Linked DNA regions of Struthio camelus. The protein of the gene in region 2 interacts with the protein of the main gene of each other region in a pairwise test. Links are inferred from orthologs where the notes say so. Each region holds a gene or a part of one and is shown on either strand. Other genes may lie near its edges.

The links.
Region 1: the proteins of CDC5L (region 2) and ZNF451 interact in a two-hybrid assay, tested with the Homo sapiens proteins (2 studies listed by BioGRID and IntAct). The link is inferred for Struthio camelus from reciprocal best matches to the Homo sapiens genes CDC5L and ZNF451.

Annotation. Positions count from the first base shown.
Region 1 is NC_090944.1:36,076,888-36,084,774, forward strand, and holds the start of ZNF451 (E3 SUMO-protein ligase ZNF451), read left to right. Parts: upstream 1-4,883; 5' UTR 4,884-4,905; coding exon 4,906-5,022; exon of another isoform or gene 5,023-5,320; intron 5,321-5,408; exon of another isoform or gene 5,409-5,779; intron 5,780-6,277; coding exon 6,278-6,364; intron 6,365-7,887. UniProt on the Homo sapiens protein: E3 SUMO-protein ligase; has a preference for SUMO2 and SUMO3 and facilitates UBE2I/UBC9-mediated sumoylation of target proteins. Plays a role in protein SUMO2 modification in response to stress caused by DNA damage and by proteasome inhibitors (in vitro).
Region 2 is NC_090944.1:13,117,530-13,124,901, forward strand, and holds the start of CDC5L (cell division cycle 5-like protein), read left to right. Parts: upstream 1-4,362; 5' UTR 4,363-4,604; coding exon 4,605-4,649; intron 4,650-7,090; coding exon 7,091-7,194; intron 7,195-7,372.

The DNA.
Region 1 (7,887 bases), about 23 Mb from region 2:
TCAGAATAGCCTGTTTAGTTGGGGAGGCCATGGCTTCTCTCACTGGCCTTTTGCTGCCGGTACTCCGGTTTATCTCTTCCTTCCTGAACATCAGCTCCACACCTGAGAGTGTCTGGTCCCTTCAGTCGCGAAATGGAGGACAGTCTTTAGGAAGCGACTAGAAAAGGACAAAGATGCCAGCTCCTACTCCCTATGTCTAGGTTTTGGAATGCTACTTTTTGGTTAGGGAGTGGGTGGGTAGGTAGGGTGGTCCTAATGGGGTTGGTACCAGAAACCCCTCAGCAACATGCCAGTTCCTTTGGAGACCTGACAGCACTTGTCTCAGTCGGGCAACTGGCACATCCTATAACTGCCTGGAACGAAGAGGACAGGTACCTTTTTCTCCACTGTTGCTTGTAGTCTGACTGATTCCAGGTTTACAGTGCGCTTGTAGCATGGGAAGTAGAGACCATGGCTTTCAAGCTTGAGTGTATTTCTCCTAGAAGAGAGAGTACTAACAACAGTTAAATATATTTTTTACTTGGCAAACAAGCAACTAAGGAATGAAGATGAGAAAAACCACAAAAATGAAGAAATTTAGCTTGATTTGAGGAGACATCTCTGAATTATAGAAATAAATTAGAAGTAGCTTTGGGGTGAATGTCAGGAAAACATTCTGAGGACGAGGTTAGCAGCTGGATACCTTGAGAGAGGGAGGTGCTGCAAGCCTTAATTTTGTTCAATCAATGGACTATAGAGAAGACTTTTGCATGGGCAGGGGTATGGATTAAGTGATCTGTTAGCCTTTTTCATCTCTCATGTCTATAAATTCCTTGTAGATAGGATTAGGATGAAAGCAGATATGACAACATGACACAAGTTCTATTTCATGTTGTTCACTATCATCCATGAAATGTAACAGAAGGATGTTTGCCATTATGTATATTTTGTATATGTACCTGTATGTATAGCATATATGAATGTATATAGTTAATCATATTTTTGAAGCAACTTTCTATCAAATAAAATTAAACATTACTATGTCTTTGTTTCATTCTTATTATCTTCTGGGCTTTTTCTTACATCAGTCACTGCTGCACACTTTCACATGTAAGGTTGCTTTTCTTTCTCACTCACTCCTTTTTTTTAATAATAGTTCTGAAGCCAGCTTCTATAAAACTCGTAATTTTTAACTAAGGAGCTTAAAGTCCTCCCAGTTGATATAGCAGAGCTGCAGCAACCCTGCTGTTGTGGAGCAGTTCAGCGCTGGAGCTGCAGAGCCACTTGGGCACGCAGGCACATTGAGCTAAACGTGAGTAGCTGCTCTCTCTGCCTCTGGGGCAGCACTGAAGATCGTGATGCACTAGGTGCTTTTCTATTCTGCAGATTGGGTAGTTTTTCAAATGAAAACAAGCGGGGCTGGCAGCTCAGCACAATGAGAAAAGGAGGATTTTCATGGTAGCGTGAAGCACTAGAAAATGGGCATGGCAGGGGATGTTCTGAACAAAAAGCAAAGAACATAGAAAAGCAGACATTTTAATGTTCTGCCAAAGGGTAGAAGCAGGGAGCAGGCCGCAAAGAGCCGGTGTCTTCCTCTCTCCCTGTGGAACTGATGTTATCCCACCAAAGAGAAGATTTTACAGAACTGAATGGTTAACAGAAAAGCCATGGTCCTTTCAGTATGATCGAAAAGGAAGAAAATATAACTGGCTTTCGAAAAAGATGCTGACGAGCTCTCTGTGACTACAAAACTGAAGACTAAATAATTACAGATGAGAAACTACAGAAGTAACAAGGCAAGGGGAGGGGAGAGCAGAGCAGCTTAACACTGGTTTTCCCAAGATTTGCGCTAGAAACAAAATTAGTTGGTGACATGTAAACATGTTGTGTCACAAAGCGTACAATTCATCTGATAATAAGTGATAGAGGATGCATTATTTGCATTACTGAAAATCAGAGCAGGCTGACAGCTTACTGTAGAAGAAACTAACAGAGCTATACAACTCTGCAGTATCTAATAACTAGAGATTCAGTATTGAAAACTAAGTAAGCGGTACTGAAACAAATTATTTGAACTATCTGTTTCTATCTGTATTTTAGATTAAATTTGAAGATTACCTTGCAAAAGGATTTGGCCATTGTTTATTATGAATTGGTCAATAAGAATATCTGTTCTCTAAAGAAGAAAGAGCATTATGGTATGTGAAGACTGGGATAAAAAAATTGACTGATAAAAACAAAATACTATTGAATAGATCGGTTTTTCATGTGTCTGGTTCCTGTTCCCTCTTACTAAAAACCAGTATACTAGCTGACTAGGAGTCTAATTAAAAAAAAAATCTACATCTAAATTTTCTAGATTTAGAGTAAATGGCAGTATACAATGTTGACACAAGAGGGAAATCAGTGGTTAAAAAGGCAACATTTCACTCACGATAAGGAGCAAGGACAGAAGGAAGGAAGTTGAAATGTGTTTAAATTTTGTAAAAGAAAATAATTGTTTTCAGGGTACATAATACGTGGAATTGGTTGCAGAGAGTATTATTACTGAGTTTACATAGGAGGGAGGTCTGCTCAGAAATGGCTTCCACATCCTATCTAACACCCAGACTCCTCCTGGAGGTTTGGCCTTTTTTAAGATTTAACTCATGAACAGGCAGACCATGAATACTCCCTGCTCTCCTAGGTTTGTCCGTGGCTACCTTTGGGAGCCTATTGACTCTCTTTTAAAAAATGGACTACTCTCACTGCAAGTGATGCAGTGCAGCAGGCTACATCTTTTCCACGCTCTATGAAAAAAGCCTGTGTAATAACTTTCCTAAGCTGATACAACTTAGAAAGCCCATGTTTTCACAGAAATTACCTAAAATATTCCAGTTTTGGAATCTAGAATTTTATTAGCAGGAATTAGCTAAAATCTTCAAATTCTGGAATTCAGAGTTTTGTTAGCATATTCTAAATGTTGACCAGATTGCAGATATCACTTTTCTTTTACTGTCTTCTTTTCATTAACTGTATTGTTCACTTATGGGGAAGATCTTTGGATGGGTCATCGCAAGAGCAAACAAACCTCCTTTACCTCAGTTACTGCTGAAAAGTTCATACTCAAATGAGCATCATCTTCGTAGAATATCAGAATTTGAAAAAAAAATGCCACCTTGCTATTCTAGAAAGTTATTCTAGCAACTCACTACTATTGGACTTCGTGTTATCTGTCCTCAAGAATCAAAATTAATTAAGTACCACATGCAAGCTACAAATAGAATGGCTGCTTTCAATACTCTATTAGCAAATTTAGGTTATAAATGCAAAATATGAGCAAAGTTTAGGCAGCAACAATGACTTTAATTTTCTAAATGGCAACAAAGTTTCTTTTGTTTTAATAACAAAATAAAACTGTTCTACTAAGTGTTCTTTATACAGTTCAACAACAGTGATTACATTGTACAAACCAGTTAACTATCATATTTTAATTAACAGGCAAATAGTAAAAAAAAGCAAGAATCACATCTCACAGAAGGAGATAATAGGAGCGTTTCACGATCTCAGTACTTCCAAGTTTATCTTTTATCATAAAGCTATTTTTTCATTATGATATGAAGGGAGGCTTAAAACTGGGATTAGTACAGTAACTTGGTGTTTACAGGAAAAATAAATGCACTACATTAATTCTAACATTGCCAAGCACCATGTGATGTATTATTCCTTACACTTCTATTCACAAAGGTCTCATAACATCCAAATGCAACATGTAACCCTGAATTCTCTCTCTCTCCTGTGTATGTGTAGTTTAATAAGCACATACCAGTGAACTGTTTTGGGTACAAGCAGCTGTTGTATATAGGCACACAACTCGAAAGCGACATTCGGCTTACTCAGACTCAATGCACTGAGTAAACGTGATTCTGTTCATCAGTTTTGACCTGGGGTGACTCAGAGCTACAAAGAACAGGATGAAGCAGATCAGTAGCAGGCAAGTATTAAGAATCACAATTACACACCTAAGAGGCAGAGCATAGTTTGAGAAGCTAAAGGAAAGATTAGAATTAGGTGTGTCAATTTATTTCAGGATGCCATCATTTAAACTCACTGTTATTTATCACGTTACCACCTACTTCATTGCCATTTGCAGACCCACTTCGTTTCCCTCTGGAGCTTTCTTCCGCCCAGGAGGCTGCTGCGGGCTTCCCAGCAGGCCGGGAGCGAGCGAGCGAGAGGGCAGCGGCTGCTCCCCAGCCGCGCTCCACCACAGCCTAGCTGCGACCGCGCGTCCCAAGGAAGCCTAGCCGGCAGGGGGGAAGGTGGCCCCAGGACACCACGCCAGTTCTCCTTCTGAGAGCTCTCCCACGCACAACTGATATAGTCTGATATTCAGGTTTTCACTAGAGAGACTCTTTGGACAAGGCGCGTTAGGAAAGCAGGAGCAGAGCGGGATGCTCCCAGCATGCCGGGATTTCTGGAGGCCACCAGCAACGGGCGCTGCGGGGTGACACTGCTTCTGCCCCCGCCACCCCTTGTCAGGTGAGGCCGAGACACGGCCTCTGGGGCAGGGAAGGGCACCAAGGCACCCGGCCGGTCGGGGGGGGGGGGCAGGTGATGGCCTCGAGCAAGAGCTATCAGAAGTGAAACACTTTTTAAGCACTTAAGAAAAATCTTTCCTAAGCCGGGGTGACAACGCCCTCCCACCCCCGCGGGGACACAGAAACGCACAGAAAACCAGGAGCAGTGACCGGACGCCCCGGCCAGGCGCAGCACCCCCCCCCCAAGGCAGCGCCCCCCGCCGGCACCAGCCGTGAGGGGCAGCGGCCGCCGCCTCGGCGCGGCGCTAACGGCCGCCGCCAACGGCCGCCAACGGCCGCCGCGCGCGCGGCCTCCCCGGAGGGAGGGGGTTTTCCCGCCTCCCCTGCCCGCCCACTCTCCATCCCCATGGCGGTGACCCTGCCCCGCCTCGGCAGCGGCTTGAGGGTTTCCCTCCTTCCACCGGCAGCTTTATTCAGAAGCGGGCGATCGCAGAACGAAGGCGAGCGAGCGGGGGCGAGGAAGGTGCTGAAGGGAAAAAAAAAAAAAAAAGAAAGAGGGAACCGAAAAAAAAAAAAGATAGGAAAAACGCCGCCGCAGGGCAGCCGGGACATGACGTTGCGGCGGTAGCGCCGACACCTTCCGCGGGGAAGAGGCGGGGAGGAGCGCGGCGAGCCGGGCGCGAACTACAAGTCCCAGCAGGCCGCGCCCGCCGCGCCTTCCCTGCCCGCCGCCCCCGGTTTGAAGAGGAAGCCGAGGCGCGGGGTGGCGGGTCGGGGGTTGATGCGTCGCGGGTGCTGGTCGCGGCGGCGGCGCCGGCGGGGTGAGCGAGGCCGGGGCATTGTGAGGGGCGGGGGGGGGAGAGGGGGGAGCGCGGCGCCATCGCTTAGCAACGGCGGCTGCGTGCGCGGGGCGGGCGGGAGCGGAGCAGAGCAGGCGCCGGGCGGCCCCGCCGCCGCCTCCTGGCGCACCCGCTCTGTCTCGGTGGGGCCGGCGTGGTGGTGGCTGCTGCCGCTCGGCCTGGTGGCTTCTTATTTTGGCGGCTGCCTCGGCACCCTTTGGGCTAGCGTGGTCAGGCGGGCGAAGAAGGGCGAGTGAGTCAGCAGAGGTGCCCGCCCGGCGGCGCCGTCTGAGGGGCTGGCGGGCGCCTCGGGCCCGGCGATCCGCGCCTGCTGCTGCCTGCTCGCGGGGCGTCTCTCCTTTGGCAAGACGAAACTCTGTCTTCTGGCTCTCCTGCGGTCCTAAAGTGGCCGAAAGCATCAGAAATATCAGTAGCTGCTAAGTATGCCTTAAGTCATCACTTCCAAGACGTGTCTTTGGCTAAACAAGCCTCTGTTTGTATCCTAGTGGGGGTGCGCAGCTGCGCAGGTGCCAGCGCGGGCAAGTTAGGAGCTCTGCTTTTTCTGTTCGTATGGATTTGAGAGTGAAACGCGTTAGTCAACTAGGGTGGTAAACCCTAGTACCAGGTTCCTCTCTGTAGTAAAGCTTGCACAATGAGGAAGTGCTGGAGGAATACGGTGTTGGTGTGTTTTGTAGGTTAGGCTGTTTTGCATATTACTTGGGCAATGTAGTGACATGATTCGAACCAAAATTATTTTATTTCTTTTAGCACTTACTCTAGCATTATCAGTAGTTGTCACTGAATGATACGAAGAGATTTGAATGCAAATTGGTTGTAGAGCCAAAGTAGCTGTAAATGAAACTGAAAACATAATGAGGGAGAACTTTTTAAAAAACGATAGAACATGTTTGAAGCATGTTTTGATTTGTTTCTGTTTAGATAATGGAGTCTCTTAGCTCTGGCAACATTCCTGAGACTAAATCACCAACACAGCATGAAAGTGAAGATGACATTGAGTTCATTGGAGTAAGTAGATCTTGGGCTTGGGAACATATTGCACATAGTAGTGAGTACTTTCTCAGTAGTTGTATAAAATATGAGTTTTTTCTATACTGTATTTATGATCTTGATTATATTTAATTCAAAAATCTTTGTGGCAGGCAGCAAGTTCTTCTAAAGGGACTTTTGACAATGTCTTTGGAAGAGTAGAAGGTAATGTCATGTGGTGCTACAGAGAGAGAGTAGACTTGAGTATCTCAGCAGAGGAGTGGGGGATGCAAAGTGCATCCATGGTCAGTGAGGCATATGAGAAGGCTACTAATCACTGTAAATTTTTTTTTTTTTGTAGTCATGTTGCCTGACATTTTGCTTAATGAATAGTCCCATTAAAATTAATGAAACAAAGTGCTGCTCAATCTGCAAAACAACGTCAAAAAACACTATATGTCTGTAGCTGGAGAAAGGAAAGAAATAATGGAGTAAAGGCCTTTATCAGCAGTGTACTCGAGCACAGTGTAATAGCTACATATTCTAATGCTGACCCGTGGCTTGTGTGAATATAACTTTAAGATATTTACATCTGTTGAATGCGCAGGAAAAGCATAACATTTTTCTTGCTGCCTGTGTTCTGGCCTCAATACATCATCAGTGAAATGGTGCCCTATGGGAGGGATACATGCAAGAACAGAAAGGTGATTTCCGTTAAGGAACAAGTCATTCAAATAAGACCAAGTATAACTGATACCAGGACTGATAATGGCTAGCTCCCTATGAATTTGTCTTATTGTTAATGGTGAGTAGTGATTGACATTTGCACAGTTTTTACGCTAGCTCTCATGTAGATTTTTTTTTCTGTGTGCTGTCCAATGAAGTCTAAATTCAACCTGCAGACTTTCCCTCTCCAGAGGTATTTAAGTGCTCAAGTATGAGAGGCACACACGTATTTTTGCTAAAATTATAAGTACTTGATTATCTCTGAGACTTCTCAGTCTGTTAGCTGAATTTGATAAAAACTGACTAATAAGTTCAAAATTCATTATATATGCAGACAAGTATTCAAGTTTTAATGTGTAGCATAACTGTATAAACTTTCCTTTTCTAATATACCAGGCTAAGAATGAGGAAGCTTTGGATGTGTAATGATTGAAGGGCTGTGGGAGGAACCTGCAGCACCAGTTAAAGAAAAGAGATTTATTAAAATCAACCTTTTTATTGCTTTTGCCTATGTATATCTGATCCTTTCTGGTCCCAGTGATGACTGATGCTGAGAGAGACAGCTATATGTAGGAAGAAGGCTTCTTAGGCTCAGTTCTTAGGCTTGCTCTCCTTGGGCAAGGATATTGCTGCTGCCATTGAATACATGGGGGAAGGATGTCTGAAATTGGCCATTAGCTAATGTTAGCAATGATCCCTCTTTCCGATCTGTCATTTACTCCTACTCTCACACGTCTCTGAAGAAAACTTGCATTTTGCGAAAGGACTTCTAAACTATTTGCCTAGCTTTAAATGAGCCTTCTGGTACAATGTGCGCATGACTAGAAGTGTACAAG
Region 2 (7,372 bases):
TCTAGTCTTTTTGGTCCAGAGAATAAAATCGAGATTGTCTTGCTCCTGGCTCTTCTGAGAGCTTTGGTTCCGGCAAAGGATGTGCTAAAGAAGTTCTTGAAGGCACGTTTTCATGCTTGAGCACTTTTTCTGTTCTCTAAGGTCGGAGCTACGTTTTGCCCTATGCTCATCAGTTGAAACACCCTCATAGAAGGGTTATCTTATTCTATTTCACCTTTTTTTTTTTTTTGGTAGCTAAACTGGAGTCTTGTTTAGCTGAAAGAATGTTTAAAGGGAGGGGAGTGTGTTTTACGTTGCGAAGTAGTAACTTTCGAATTAAAAATTGTCAATGTGGTTGGAGGCTTAATGTTCCCTCCTGTCTGCTGAAACTTGCATTCCCTCCTGTAAGGTTCTCTTGCAACAACTGCAAGAGAACGGATTAGAAGTGTTTCACAATATTACTGAAACAGATTCATGTAATCACTGGATAATTGGGATATGAAAGTCTTTTATGTATATATATATATATATGTATATATGAAAAGGTTGTTAGGCACTTAATCTTGTCTGTAATTATCCCTGATAATTCTTTGAGTAGTCTGACAGAAATGGTAATGTAATCAGATCTTGTGAGATACTGAGAAACTTCAAATCCATCTTTATGAATTTTATTTAGATGCCTGATATTAATCTAGTATGAAATGCCTTATCTTTTCTCAGGTTGCTAAATGCAGTTACGGTGCTCCTTGCGGGAAAAAAAAATCATAGCATCTCTTTTGAGAAACAATATTTCTGTTAATTTAGGCACTTCCTTACATATTGCAAATACTTCTTGGATTGCATTGAAAACTTCAGCAATATCTTGAACTGTCAAACTTGCTTGTTAATATGAGAGATTTATTCTGCCTCTGAAATGACATGTATAATGACATATATCAAACTGTAGTTATTTAATAGAAATACATTATGGTGAAGACTGAATGAGATGGATGTTTCTTCCACTTTGTAGTCAAGCTTGCTTTGAGTTATACAGCGCTAGAGACTGTATGGAAGCCGCTAACTATATGTTCAATGGTATTTATAACAGCAGTGCTATCTTGTGTGGGGGGAAAAAAAGATAATGGCAAAGGATTGATACTAATTACCCTTTTCATGTTATAGTTCAGTCCATGAAACAACAGAGTAAGCCTGAAGCTTAATTTAGAGAATGTTACCATGAACTACTACTGCTATGTTACTGCTCTCAAATTTATGCTTTTCTTTGTTAATATAGGTGATACCTTGGAGAGGCTCTTTGGCAAAGTAGAAAAGCAATTTGCAAGAAGAGTGGACTGAAACTTATCAGTGGGTGCATGCACCTAAGGCTAGATCAACAAAGGAATTTAAATGATCTAGTTCTCTTTGATTTCAGTAAAATCAGGCAATTAAATGTTTGTGACCATGAACCTTAGTGATGTTACAGATATTTTTACTATAAGCTGGGAAGTCACCATTTGGAAATGCAAGAAGAAAGATTCTGATCTTAGAATGACTGAACTAACAATTGGTTACAGCTGTGAGAAGTAAGTTAGCTTAGCATGAATGTGGCAAAGCGTTTCTGGGAAATATTAACACTATTATGCAACCATGGTTGACTTTATTTGAATTTCTCTGGAATTCTGACAGCGTATTTGAAGAAAATAAAAAAAGAACAGGTGCAAAGAAGAGATACAAAAATGATGACAGAATTGAAATTCTGTGCATCAGGTGAAACTATGAAAACAAAATCTGATAAGGAATAATTACCTGTTTATAAGTATGTTTTAAATAAACTGAGCTCCCCTTTTCTCCGTTAAGGGATAAATACACTGTGAATTAAATCAGACAGGACACACAGTAAACACTGGAAATTTCTTTTAGTGGCAAGTAAGGAGAACAGAAGACATTCTCAGATGGAGCTTGATAAGTTTGTAAAAATAACTTTTTAGGTGGCTACCTCTAATTTAAAAAAAAAAACAAAAACAAAAAAAAAAGACTCATGAGGTTCCCCTCTGTCCTTAATTCTTTCCTAGTGCAAATGCACTGTCCTTCATAGAATTAGAAGTTTAAACCTAAAGTAAACCTAAATTTAAACGTAAATGCATATCTACTTTAAAATAAGGGCATTGGCTATTTCTAACGAGCAAAAAAATAAAAATCAAAGGTGTAATATTTTTGTCCTTGCAGAGTTTTAGCAAGAAGCAAAGTCTTTTCTAAATCATACTATGATATCTTTTACTTGAACCAAAACATTATCTTGGTGATTTTTTTTTAATTAACACATCCTGAATTTGGATAAAACAGTAAAATGCAATAGCATTAGTGACCCATCTCCTTGAGCAAATATATGGAGATCATTTTATCTGCTCCATGTCTTCTAAACAAGTGAATAATAAAGTTAAACTTGAGGTGAAATAAATGAATATAGGTGAGTTAGACCATGCTGCAATACTTGTAACCAGTTTTATATACAGCACATGGAAGGAAATAACGTTTTTTTTTTTTTTTTTTTTTTAGCTTGGAAAGTAAAAACTGTCCCATGCTGTTTTCCTCAGGCTCAATCCAGTGTCCCTAGGGGAGAGAAAATTACTAAATTTTAGTAATAAAGCTTTCACTTGGGCTTTTAAAATTGTGGGTGAACTGAGAGAAGAAAATACACAGAAAAGTGTGTTTAAAAAAAAATACTTTTGAAGGAGTCTTTGTGGACCAGATAATGTATGCTTCTTTCTATTGCCTCACATACCAGAGGCCTTTTGGATATGAGGGCATAGAGATAAGAAATAGGCATTCCTCAACTTCCCTTACACTTTGCAGTAAAGATGGGGGGGGGGGGTGGTTTGTGTGTGTAAGAAAAAACTTTTGCTATCCAGCTTTAAAGGCGTGTGTCTAGTTTATAAATCGAATATAGCATTAAGGAAGGCTTGTACAGTCTTGGCAAAGGAGAAACTTGTGCAGGAGGAGGGGAGAAGGAAGCTTGTTGTTCATTCGGTTCTCTCCTTAAAGGACTCGGCCAGGAGATAGAGCAGTTAAATAAAGAGCTCATTTTGTTCCCATAACTGTAGGCTAACTTGCTGAGGGCTCTCCTATTAGAGAAGGGAATTGCAGCCGACTTAGCTTCAGCTTAGCATAAGCGCCTAAAGCAGGTGAAGCCTGCAGGCCGCGGGACTGAACTGTAACCCAAAGAGCATTGCTGGCAACGTGACTGCAAAGTAAGCTAAAACCAGCCCTCAAGGGCACAGAGTGACCAGAGGTAACAGCTGACCTTTGGATAAGATAAGGTGCAGGAACACAGCAGCCGTCCCGGGATGTAGATGTGAACCAATCAGAGGGAAAGAGACCACCGACTCAGCAAAGAAGATTGGAAGAGACTATCACTGGCAGATGGGAAAATAAAACTGTAAAAAGTATAATTACTTAAGTATTCTTTTGTTCTGGGTCCATCCCCAGAGGCACCCAGCTCGAGCTGTTGCCCTGTCATACCATCCTTTAATTAAATGATTTTGCTGTTGTACGTGTGTGAGACTCTGCTCCTTGGAAACCTAGCGTCAAACTATTTCTACAACATCTCCAGCCTTTCAGCCTAATGCGATCTTGACCTAGCAGACAAGAATTGCTTCTCAAAGGCAAGAATCCAGACTATGCATATGATTGGGGTATCAAAAGGAGAGAGGGGGATTCTTTTCTGAAGCCTGGCTTCTGCGAGGTTTAGATCCGTAATCCTGTGAAATAGGGCTGAAAGCCCAGCTGCCTTTTTTTTTTTGTTTAGTAACAGTAACAGCTGCAGGAACAGTGGATTAGACAATGTCAACAAGTTGATTAGGATGGGAAGCATACTAGCAACTTGGTTCATTAGTGCCTAATAGGGAAGTTCAGCCTCAGGTTTTTTTTTTTGGTTTGGTTTTGTTTTTCTGATTATTGGAACGGAAGATCTGAAACCTTATGTAAACAGTAAGGAAGCTTTGCAGTGAAGACTGCAATACATAAGAGTTCAATAAACAATGATAACAGAAAAAGGACGGGTGAAGAGGTGCAGGGGCCTGAAATGTAAGATTTAAGTAACTCTTAAAATCTGGACATCAGTGTTCCAATTTTCACTCGGGCTGCCTTGTGTTAATGTGGATTTTTTTTTTTCCAAGATACTTTAGCAAAACACATTGTAAAAGTAAGACTGGTGAAATCTTACACAGCAGAGGACAGAAAAAAATGATCAGATTAAAAAAAAAAAAAGGTTAAAAAAAACCCCAAGCCTTTTCGCCGCATGGAGTTTTGTTCCGCCTCTTCGAAGCAGCCCCCGGGCGGCCACGCCCCCTCTCCTGGCCACGCCCTCGAGCCCCGCCCAGACGGCTCTGCCGCCCTGGGCTTGGCGCCTGCGCAGAGCCCCAAGCCTGGCGTCGTCCCCGTTGCGCGTGCGCGAACGGTGCCGTCCCCTCCTCCCCCCCCCCCCCCCGCGCAGCCGTTACGGCCTCCCCTTTGCGCCTGCGCCGAGCGCGCGCCTTTCCGCGGACAGCGCCTGCGCCGCGTCTCGGCCGGCCCGGCTGTGACGAGCGGCGTTTCCGTGCTTTCACCCCTTTTTCCTCTGCCGAGCTTGGTACCCCTTCGCCGCCAAGATGCCGCGGATTATGATTAAAGGCGGTGTGTGGCGGAACACCGAGGTAGGAGCCGGTTCGCTTTAATATCCTCCCCCCCGGGTTGGGGCCTCCTCCGGGATTGCGGGGGAGGGGGAAGGGGGGGGGGTCACCCTACATTAGTGCGCAAGCGCTGTGGGAGCGGTCGTGGCGCGCATGCGTGGAGGGGCTTCCGTAGTAGGGTCGTTTGCCTCCACGGCGGGGATGGGAGTTTGGGGTCTTCCTTATTCCTCTCTAGCGGGGGAATAAAGGGTTAGGGCTTTAGAAGTACCGCGGCTCTGGTAGGCTTGCTTCCCCTGCAGACTGGACCCCCCTGTTCGTCCCCTGGCCTGGTCGGCAGAGGTCGATTCAGTGCTGTTTCTCCTGGGGGTCATGTGTTTGGGGGGGGGGGGGAGGAAGCTCGGCCATGCGTAGCTCCTGGCACGCAGAAACCGCCCCCGCAGCAACTCGAGCTTCTCCGTGGATCCACCTGCACCTCGCCCTGCTCGGAGGTGTCGCTTTTCTAGGTTGGAACTTGTCCTGTACTGCATGGGCAGGGTTCTTACTCACTTGGGATATGAAAGAGCTGGAGTTCGTTCCTCTTGGAGACCCTTCCTAATGCAGAAAAGCTGAAGATAGGTATGGGCTCTTCATCTGCAGCCCAGAGTGTTTTGGGCAGAAGAATCTGTGTTGGCCGGAGTTTGAATGCACAAATGTTTCCCTGTGTCTAAAGAAAAGAAGATGATCTCTACCCTGTTTTTGCCCTCACGTTTCTTTCAGAACTATAAATAATAGTGAAAAAGAAAACAATAGTGCAAGAATTAGAGATTTCAGATTAATTTCGCTAGGTGCCAGGTTCAAAGCAAAGGAGATACTTACTTACTTACTTACTTACACAGTAAACTGTAGAACTCTGCTACTGTATACTGTGGACACTAAGTATTTACATAGTTTCAAAGAGCAGTAAGAAAAATTAATGGAAGATAAATGTCCTATGTTCTCTTAAACACCTATGCTATATAGCAGCTCTGCATCAGGAGGCTGTTGAGTTGCAGGTCAGTGGAGGAAAAGAAGTACTGCTGTGTACGTGTGCTGTTCTTATCATCTTCCATAGCTGATGAATTTTGGCAACTGTTAGAGAAACAGCAGTGGGTTAAATGGATCGTTGTTTCACCCGCTTTTGTATATCAGAGATGAAATAGAAAGCTCTTGTATTTACTGCTATTTTTATGATTAATGTAATGTGAATGTACAACATTAAAAAATACAAAAAGCGGAACTAATTGACGGTCAAAAAAATGACCGATTACTGGCAAATCGGTCTGCTATTGTCATCAGTATGGCTACTGCATGCGATTTGACAGTGAGTAGAATTCAGAAACCGAGAGAGGATTTATGGAAATTTGGGGCTTTTTTAATAGAGATTATATGAACTGCTTCCTGTAGCATCTCAAGCTGAAGCTCATTAGTTTGCAGTTGAAGCTGCTGTGCGCTGTGGGAACTGTCCGCGCTAGACAGCGAGTCTGTCACTGACGACTAGCATCTGCACTGTGCAGCCAAACAGATTCTGAGCAAACTACGTGATCTTATTGGATATAGAATAACATTCGTGGTTGACAAGGCTATAAAGAATAGCTGTGAAGTATTTAAAATACCATTTTCTGAATTGTGGGGAGACCAGAAATAATGAAGCCGTTTTTGTGGAGAAAGGGAGAGAGGAATGGATGGATGGGTTGACAAGGCAATAATTACAATTTTTAGCTTTTGATCATATCTCTATGTGTATAGTTTGATATATATGAACAGCCTGGCCTCCAAGCTGAGGTAATCCTAACTGAATCCATTACGTATTTTTCCCCATAAGCTTGTAAGCTTTCGGATCAGCATTTCTGGATGTAGCATTCTAAACATTTCAGTGGTTTATTTTAGGATTTATTTAGAATAGAGGAACTTCATATTTTGTGGTGTATTTTTTTAACAGCTTTTTCCATTTATAGGTGAATATTCCATCGCAACACAGGTTTGCATTAAAACTTGCAAAAAAACCCACTTCAGGGCGTTATTTAAAACAAGCCACCTCAGAGGATCTATCCTAATTTTTTTTTTAATGTTCTATCACTGTCAAACAGATAAACACCTCCCTGCCTCTTTATTACTATTCTTTGAAAAAGACCTACAGAACCATCAAAAACTGCATGCGTAAGAACGTTGAAACTATTAATTTTGAAAGTTCTGTCAAGCCTGCGAAGTAGGCCGCAGTGATCATTCCTAGTCTTTTTCATTCAGTCTCTATCAATTTCAGTGGGTTTTGGAATACAAATTCTCATGCATCTTGAAATAAAATGTGGAAAAGAAGCAGTAGTGCTTTGTCGTTTCTAGTGGGTCAGCCCTTTTTATGAAACTTACTGCATTCTCTTCTGCTTCAGCTGAGTCTTTCCGCTTTGCGAGTTTTGGTGATCCATAACAATATACATAATTTCTGTTTTAAGGATGAAATTCTGAAAGCAGCTGTGATGAAATATGGCAAAAACCAGTGGTCTCGTATTGCTTCTTTATTGCATAGGAAATCAGCAAAGCAGTGCAAAGCCAGATGGTAAGTGAGAAATACCATGACTGGGAATATGAAATTCATAGTTACTGTGAATTTAGAAGTTACTGAAGATTGATTTATGCCCATAGAGGAACAGTGATTTTAGTTTGAGTTCCATTTCTGTGGTTATTGCAAATTCCTATTGCTTAAAAGGAATATGAAGAAAAATAGCCAAGCGTTC